2 linked regions of the Arabidopsis thaliana genome follow. The protein of the gene in region 2 purifies or fractionates together with the protein of the main gene of each other region. This does not show direct contact. Each region holds a gene or a part of one and is shown on either strand. Other genes may lie near its edges.

Region 1 (3,227 bases), on a different chromosome or scaffold from region 2:
ATTAACTATAATGTTTAAGCCAAACTTCTCATGTTTGATCACAGGATCATCCAAATGGGCGTACGGATCTACCAAATCAGTGGGACAATCAGCTGAATTGTGTTCCTACATGTTTGTTGTCCAGTCTCGAAACGTTCCGTTGGAGTGAGATGCATGGATTGCTGCAGAACCAGATGGATGTAGCTAAATATATCTTGAAAAATGCTCGCTGCTTAAAGTCTGCGACAATCTTTTTTCCGACAACATATGCTCAAGAAACAAGAGATGAGATGATCGAGGAGTTGTCACTTTCTTTTCAAGGTCCAGAAACATGCCAAGTCTTCTTCCATTGAGGATGTGAATCATAAGGATTCAAACTTTCATTTCCATAGACACTACCCTCCTTTATTACAATGGTTTTTTATTTGCAGCCGTAACTTGATCTAAACTTAAGGTTTATGTCTTTGTTTTTGGTTTTCTTTTTGTATACTTTATCTTTGAGCATACTGTTTTTGTTGAGACATTGGCTTTATCTTTCTGAGATCTTACATCTAGACTCTCTCTTAGGTATGAAACTAGCTTCACCAAATCACCTAAGTTTTTCATACGAACATTAGCTCAAACTAAATCGAAATCTTGAGCGCAAGTAAAAATGTGATTTCATCTCTCTGTTTCCATAGTGTATATACTATTATGTTCTTCTTATAAAACTCTGCAAACCAATCTTTGTAAATGGAGAAATAAAACATTTGCAAAAAGAGGGACAAGTCTTAGACAACAACAACAACAACAGAAGAAGAAACAGAGATAGAGAACAGATTAGATAGCTTGCAACACAAGTCAAACATATACATATACATATACGAGAGATTGACATTGAAACGAATCATCCAAAGAAGCTTGGGTCGTATCCATTGCTGGAAGTAGCCAAGATGTAGTAAGCAACGATGTGTCCAATAGAACCCCAAGCAAGAACATCAACAATGTTGAATCCAATTGGATCGTTCGATTTCAAGAGACTGACGTACTCCTTAGCACGATCATCTCCAGCTTCGAAATGGGTTTTTCCGTTCTGCTCCGGTAAGCCCTGTTTTGCTACGTTCTCTCTCTGGAAGTTGAAGAAGACGAAACGGCCGAGGAAGAGGGAGAGACCTGTGCTGAGACTTATGACGATGGAAGGGCTTAGCTCAGCTCTCACGACAGCGGAGGAGGATTTTCTCCCGGTGGTTGATAGTTTGGGTAGGGCGGAGGAGGAGCCACCTAGACGGAGGGGACGAAGGCCATGGAATGAGATGGAGTTAGGGTTTTTGTGGGAGATTGCAGTGGAGAATGTGGTTGGTGAGAGCAAAGCTGATGCGCTTGTGGCCATTTTGCTTCTTCTTCTTCTTCTCTAAGAAAAATTTCAGTAATAGAAAAATGAGTGGTTTTGGATTTATGATCTGAAGGTTTGGTTTTGGATTCTGGCAAGCAGGAGAAGAAGCAGAAGAAGATTTTGTTTGTGAGGATACGATTACGGATGGATGATGTGGCATTCTCTCGTTGGTTCTTTCTGGATTATGAGATTTTCAAAGAAATATTTGCGTTCAAACCCTTGTAATTTAGTAGGATACACTTTGAAGAACCTACTATCTTTTTTTTAAAAGATTTAGTCCATAATCTACACTTTAATAGTCTTTTTTCTCATAAAGTGTTTGTATTTTATTTATAACTTGTGTTGTAAAAACTCAATATTACAGGTCTTGATACATATGAAACTAAAACCAACAAACTTATAACCATAGGCCCAACGAGAAAAGCCCAATCGAGAAACATAATCCTTTAAGGAAGTAAGCTAAATAATTCCCGACTGCAAAGCCACGTGGAATGCTAACAAATAAAGTTGAAGACGTGGATAGATGATTCTTCGTCACCGTTCATCGCCGATCTGTTCAGCAACAACCGGAAAACTCCAAAGCCACCGGAAACAGCTAGAACTTTAAACACAGAAGTCCATCGGTTTTTAATTAGAGAATCCCAACAAACATCATCATCAAATTTGCAAAGAAAGGATCTTCCAAAAGACAATTGATTCCCGAATTCCAAAAACACAGCGGCACAGATTTTACAAAAATTGATCAAAGCCAATAAGAGTCCATAATTCATTGAAAAGCTATGAATCAATTCCTGTAATTGCAAACTCAAAAGTAAAAGCATCGAATAATACACTTCATTAAGCGATAATTCGCTTCAATCGATATTATCAACACATCCCTAATAAAATTTATTGTAAGTAAATAAACAACTGGAAGAAAAACATAACAACGGCGGAGACAAACCCGAAATCCGGTCAAGACGATACTATGTAAGCTACTGCTTCCGGAGTGGTGCCGACCAAGACGACGCTAAGGAAGCCATCGCTGTCAGAAGAAAGCTAGCCAACTCCGCTAAAGTAGTCAGAGATGCCAGACACGAGCCCACTATGTGAGGAACATGAGCCTTCGAATCAAACCAGAAGGCAAAGGTTTGATCGGAAAGTTTAGCTTTCTCTAAAAGATATTAAAGAGAGAAGAGAGAGAGAAACTTACCATTGATACACTTTAATAGTCTAGGAAACAGAAATATTATGAAACATCATGATATATAATTTGATCCAACAATCGGCAGAAACATCTCAAATTGAGTTCCTCTACAAGTGACCATAGCCAAATAACGAGCCACAGACTCGAGTAAAGTTGTCTCTTTGCCAAGAGTTGAGACTTGATGCAAACTCACCCGAACCTCATATACTTATGTACAATACACGAACTCCAACACTCATACAAGAAATGAACATTAACTAACTAAATCCGCTCTCTGTGACAACATTCCTACTAGTACTTGCACAACACATCATTTACACCATTAGAGATCGACTTGAGTTTATGTTTTCTCTTTTCTCGGGTTTCTTAGTTTAACAGAGCGACAGGAGAGTGCAGCAGCACATATGTATCGGCTCTTTTATTCCTCTGGTATGTCGGGTGATCATAGAAATGAATCAAGGTAGGAGTAGTTGTGGCGCCGGCTATACTCAATTAGACTTCCGTAAGTGCGGTCCCAAACGCCTATGAAGAGTGCTTCTGTGTCGGGGCTAAATGATATTCCCGAGATCTCCCCAAAGAAGTCGATCTCTTGCTCCGTTTCATACCCGTTTGAGACATCATACACATGGACAAAGTCAGCCGGCTCAGCCATGGCCATGTACTTCCCATCAGATGTGTAGCGAATGGATC
Region 2 (5,625 bases):
AAAGAGTTCAAAGTAAACTCTAACCAAATTAAAAGATAAAAAAAGATATAAAAGCATTTTATATTTGGTTAGTTCACCAAATAAAATCTCAAATTCATCGAGTACATCCAAGATTTGGGGAGATTTATGTTGATTAGTCCATTTAAAGTAAAAAAAAAATGTTAGTCTATTCTGACAAACTATTAATGTTAGTAGATGAATAATCATGCTATGCATGAGTTGTTGTTTTGAAAATTGTTAAAAATATGTTGTATGTTCTTTGTTGCTAGTTTGTGTAGTTACATAAATATTTAGATTCATCTTATATAGTTACAATTTTTATGCTTTGATTCATCTTTTGACGTAAAATATCAAGTATATATTTTTCATGTGTAATATAATTATCTATATACATAAGATCTTAATCTTTTTTTTGCTATCATAAATACATAGAATAACAATATAAGATATATTGATATAATAGTTGTAATTATAATTGAGTTATACATTAGCATGATTTTGTATTTTTCAATTTTTTTGAAGAAATAAGTTAATAGTATTGATGGAAGATTTAATGATGTGGAGGACTTTTGATTTTCTTAACTTAATTTTGCTAAAATTTTTATTGAATAATATAAAAACACATGTAATTTTCTTGTATGATAATGTGACATTCATATGGAGAGAGTTAACCAACTTTCATATATATATTTTTTTCGATTCAAAGTAATTCTATGACATAAATTTTGTGAATTATTTGTGCATTATAAACTTAAAAATTTATTTGGTTATTTACATGGGACACCCGTGTATCGAAAAGTAGAGAGAAGATTGAACAAAAAAGCTAACAAACTTTATTTATCTCAACAAAATATTGTTACAAGCGTTAGTTAGAACTGTGTATCATTAAGCTTATATATATTTGAACTTAAGCTCACTTAATCAAAGTTAACCAAATATTAAACCAACATTAAACCAGCGAACCATACATCATAATACGCCTCTCTCAAGTCTTTATCTTCGAAGTGTCTGGTTTCCGAAGATAAAAACATCTTCTTGAGTAAATGATGAAATGACCCCGGATGTAGTGGCTTTGTGAAGTACAACTATCCACAATTTTCATTTATAATATCTAATGAGAGCATATCCGACAATGTTATAAACATTTTCTATCGATTTGTTAGTGGTTTACAAACCACCAATGACAATTTATTTCATGATAGATTCATTGTGTTTTAACTTATGGACAACCAGCATCACAATGATTGTTTTTGTCTATGGTTTGAGTCACAAGTCCGATTCATAATTGTTTGTAAATAAATATTTTTTTGTTGACTAATAAATATTATATTACAACTTTTTCTTGCAAATTACTAAAACTCAAGATTCTTTTTCATTTTTTCAAACATATATATATATATATATATATATATATATATATATTACAACAAAATTCTCTTATAAATTATTAAAATTCAAATTTTTTTATCGCAATTAGTTCCTTAAGAGAACTTATAAATAAATTAAGTCTTACATACAAAATATGTTTTCAAAAGAGTACAATGTGTTTGTTGGTTTTGCTTTCGTGCAATATCATGAAATATGTTTATGGTTTCTTAATTATTTATACCAATAGGTGATTCACCACATGATGATGCATATGTACAATTTATCTATTATAATGAGTTTACTATCTTGACTCCCACAAATCAAAACCCTTATTTTTCTTTACCGTTGTCCGTTGAGATGATAAAATAATAAACTAAAAATGATTGTACATATTTTTGTTATGATTTGAGTTAGAGTTTTTTTTTTTCGTTTATTTCAATTCTACGTAAAAAAAATTATATAAAGAATTCATTTTATTTGTGACTAATAATATCTAAATATTATAATACAATATTTGTTTTTGGTAATTTACCAAAATTCAAGATTTTATTCTTATTTTTTTCAAAATCATGACGTGGAACGCTAGACGATCCAACTTCGCTTATCTCCTCCTAATTTTCCCTCCAATTACACGTTGAAACAAAACAAAACAAAAAAATCAGAAGGAACCTGAAACTATCTCACACAGTAAAAAACATCACCATCTCAATTCTCAACCACACAAATCCAAAGCTTCTAACTTTTTTTTTTGTTCTTCGTCCCGGACAAGAGAAAACAACGATCTCACTCAATCATCGGCGTGAGGGATAAAGACGATGGCTTTTACTCTAACAATCCCTAGATTTTCTGCAATTTCTCGCAAACCCATCACTTGTTCTTCTTCGAGGACACAGTGTCCTGCTCCCTTTACCCATGGACGATCGATTTCTCTCAGACGAAGACTTACCTTATTGCCCCTTAAAGCTTCTACTGATCAATCAGGTCTCGATTTTTATTTGCCTCTTTAAAGTTTCGATTTTTTTATTTGTTTTTGCCTCTGATCTTTCTTTGGGAACGAAATTGGTGTGAAAAGTTGAGATTTTTATGATCATAGAAGATAATTAGATAAATGATTTCCAATTTGTAGCCTTTTTAGGATTAAAATTTGTGTGTAGCTTAAGGTTCTTAAGTTATTAACTCATCGTTATGTGATCGAAACAAAAAAGCACTCAATCTTCAAATTTAGTTGAGAAAAGCTGTTGTATTGTAGCTTTGATTTTGTCTCTGATCATTGTTTGGGAACACAGTGGCTTTTGAGAAAGTTTTGATTTTATTCAATCATAGAATAAAATCACTCAAGCTTTAATTCTAGTTAAGAAAAGTTGTTATATGGAACTTTTTTCCTCTGTGGATTTTTAGTTTTTATACTCTAATCCACTAAAAGATTGCTCCTTGAGAGTTTCCTTACTTCTTAAAATCATTTTTATGACTTGTCTTCAGGTCAGGTGGGTGGGGAAGAAGTTGATAGCAAGATTTTACCTTATTGTAGCATCAACAAGAATGAGAAGAGAACTATCGGTGAAATGGAACAAGAGTTCCTCCAAGCGATGCAAGTAACACATCAAATAAAGTGTTTTTATCATTAGTATGGGTTTATCTCTATATAATCGAGGATTGTTTCTGTTTCTTTTCTTTTGCAGTCGTTTTATTACGAAGGCAAAGCGATTATGTCTAATGAAGAGTTTGATAACCTTAAAGAAGAGTTGATGTGGGAAGGAAGCAGTGTTGTCATGCTAAGTAATGAACACTTATGATTTATAGTTTTGTCAATAATCCATTCGCCTAGGTTCTTGATTCTTGATCTAATTTTATCTATGTATTGTAGGTTCTGATGAACAAAGATTCCTTGAAGCTTCAATGGCTTATGTCTCTGGAAATCCAATCTTGAGTGATGAAGAGTATGATAAGCTCAAAATGAAACTAAAGGTTCTTAATCTATTTATACTTACAAATACTATTTCTTAGTTTCATCCATCTTGTTACATGTGTAATTTGGACAAACGTTATGATTGTTTCTTTGGTTTCTGTAGATGGACGGCAGTGAGATTGTGTGTGAGGGTCCAAGATGCAGTCTTCGTAGTAAAAAGGTAAAAACTCTTAATTGTTCGGATAGCTCATATATTCTTTGGACATTACAGAACATAACATTAGATTCATTGTTTGGGACAAACTCTAGAGATGTTATAGACTTGTGGACCTCCTTGATTATGCAGGTTTATAGTGATCTTGCCATTGATTACTTCAAAATGTTCTTGTTGAATGTACCAGCAACTGTTGTTGCTCTCGGACTGTGAGTACCTCCGGTTCTGTTCCTCTCTCAACTTTCAAATCACATGATCTTAGCTTATGTTAGTTAGTTTAAAATTGTTGTTTTCTTCAATTGTTCTCCAGATTTTTCTTTCTTGATGACATTACTGGTTTTGAAATCACGTACCTGCTCGAGGTAAAACCTCTTTCGACTATTCTACTATGGTTTGGAGAATATATACTCGTAGTAATTGTTCCAGTATTCATGCAACTGATTAAAAAACAAAAACAAAAATCTGCAGCTTCCGGAACCATTCAGTTTCATTTTCACATGGTTCGCTGCGGTGCCTGCAATTGTATATCTGGCGTTATCACTCACCAAACTGATCCTCAAAGACTTCTTGATCTTGAAGGTAAAAACATTAATCATCTTCCAAGATCAGTTCATGAAGTGGAAAAATAAAAGTTATAGAACTAAATCTTGTTTTCTCAGTATCAAAAATGCTTAAACAAGAGATTAGACTTGAGATAATAATCTATTTTGTGCTAAACGCTACAAATTTGGATTGGTATAGTGCCAAATCCTACGAGTTTTATGCGATTATTATGAAATGCTTTTAATTTTCGTGGAACATATCTTTCACAGGGCCCTTGCCCAAACTGTGGAACAGAGAATGTATCTTTCTTTGGAACGATACTATCCATCCCCAATGATAGTAACACCAACAATGTCAAATGCTCAGGGTAAGCTTCTCAGCTGTAGACTCGAATCGATCACACAAATTGTCTACAACGTTTCTTGAAGTCTTATGATTCTTCTGGTTTTTAGCTGTGGAACGGAGATGGTCTATGACTCAGGTTCTCGTTTGATCACATTACCAGAAGGAGGGAAAGCTTAAATCTAAGAGCCAAGGTTTAATTCTTATCTCAACTTTGATTTCTGATGAAATCTTTCTTGATTCAATGGAAAATTCAAAATTTTAGGGTTTTCTTTTTCTCAGGGTTATGTAGAAGTGTATGTAAAATTAATACTAACAAATGAAGAAGGTGGAGAAATTGAAGAAGAAGGAGAAAAACCAAAGTTTGTATGCTGTTTTGTATAATCTTCAGATCTTTTCATGTAGCTCTCATTGGCTTGTGTTGTGTTTGTAAGTAAGTGTGAGGCACATTCAAAGAAAAACATCATATGATTACTTCTTTGAGAAACTTTGCTCTCATTAGGAAAGTAAAATAATTCAAGAAATAAGCACAACCTTGTGTAGTTTTGAAATAATACTTGTATTTTTTTTGTTGTTATAATTTTGAATGTGTTCCATAATATAGTTTCGTTAATCCATGTGAAAATCAAATATGATGTTCTAAATCATTTATAGGTGCTAGTCAAGGCCAGTCCAAGACTTTTTGACTTTTGTGATTCTATAGTTCATTTTAGTATGATTTCTATTAAGAAGCTGATAGATAGATAAAAGTGGGGAACATGTAATAAGAGTTAAGGATTATTACAAAGGAAAAAGTCATACAAATATTATAGCATGCCAAATTCTATCTTTTTAATAAGAAAAAGGTGCAATGATGATGATGACATCGTCGTCGTCCCATGCCCTCTATATCATCATTTACCTTCCTTTTTTTTCTCACCGTTTAGACATTTCTAAATGTATCATTTTAGGATCGAAAGAATATAAGCAATTTACAAGACTACAAAGTGTGTATAAAGTAAAATGTCACGAGGCTAGAAGAAAGTAGGATAGTATTCTAAGCATTATAAAACATCGGTCATGCTTATTCATTATTATGTCTTAAGGATTAATAAAAGATACATAGTATATACTATATACTGATCATGTCTGTCCCCAAAACACATGCCAACAAAGTAAAACACAATCAATATACTTCTCTCTCTCTTTCTTCTTGATCACTTCTCTCTGCAAAACCTAACTACTTCTTCATTCATCTTAGAATCATTGGGTC

Evidence for each region.
Region 1: the proteins of PGRL1B (region 2) and PSAG fractionate together in Arabidopsis thaliana (co-fractionation; one large-scale study listed by BioGRID). This does not show direct contact.

What each region holds. Positions count from the first base shown.
Region 1 is NC_003070.9:20,802,009-20,805,235, forward strand, and holds PSAG (photosystem I subunit G), read right to left. Parts: upstream 1,442-3,227; 5' UTR 1,374-1,441; coding exon of another isoform or gene 1,349-1,373; coding exon 866-1,348; 3' UTR 662-865; downstream 1-661. Other genes in the region: AT1G55660 (FBD, F-box and Leucine Rich Repeat domains containing protein), read left to right, coding at 45-332; AT1G55673 (uncharacterized protein), read left to right, coding at 963-1,373; AT1G55675 (uncharacterized protein), read right to left, coding at 1,846-2,172; AT1G55680 (Transducin/WD40 repeat-like superfamily protein), read right to left, coding at 2,980-3,227. UniProt on the Arabidopsis thaliana protein: Not yet known.
Region 2 is NC_003075.7:7,174,268-7,179,892, reverse strand, and holds PGRL1B (PGR5-like B), read left to right. Parts: upstream 1-2,004; 5' UTR 2,005-2,183; coding exon 2,184-2,349; intron 2,350-2,719; coding exon of another isoform or gene 2,720-2,765; intron 2,766-2,847; coding exon 2,848-2,960; intron 2,961-3,047; coding exon 3,048-3,144; intron 3,145-3,232; coding exon 3,233-3,333; intron 3,334-3,437; coding exon 3,438-3,494; intron 3,495-3,620; coding exon 3,621-3,697; intron 3,698-3,798; coding exon 3,799-3,850; intron 3,851-3,956; coding exon 3,957-4,067; intron 4,068-4,300; coding exon 4,301-4,398; intron 4,399-4,483; coding exon 4,484-4,553; 3' UTR 4,554-4,567; intron 4,568-4,655; 3' UTR 4,656-5,007; downstream 5,008-5,625. UniProt on the Arabidopsis thaliana protein: Ferredoxin-plastoquinone reductase involved in cyclic electron flow (CEF) around photosystem I. The homodimer is probably not involved in CEF.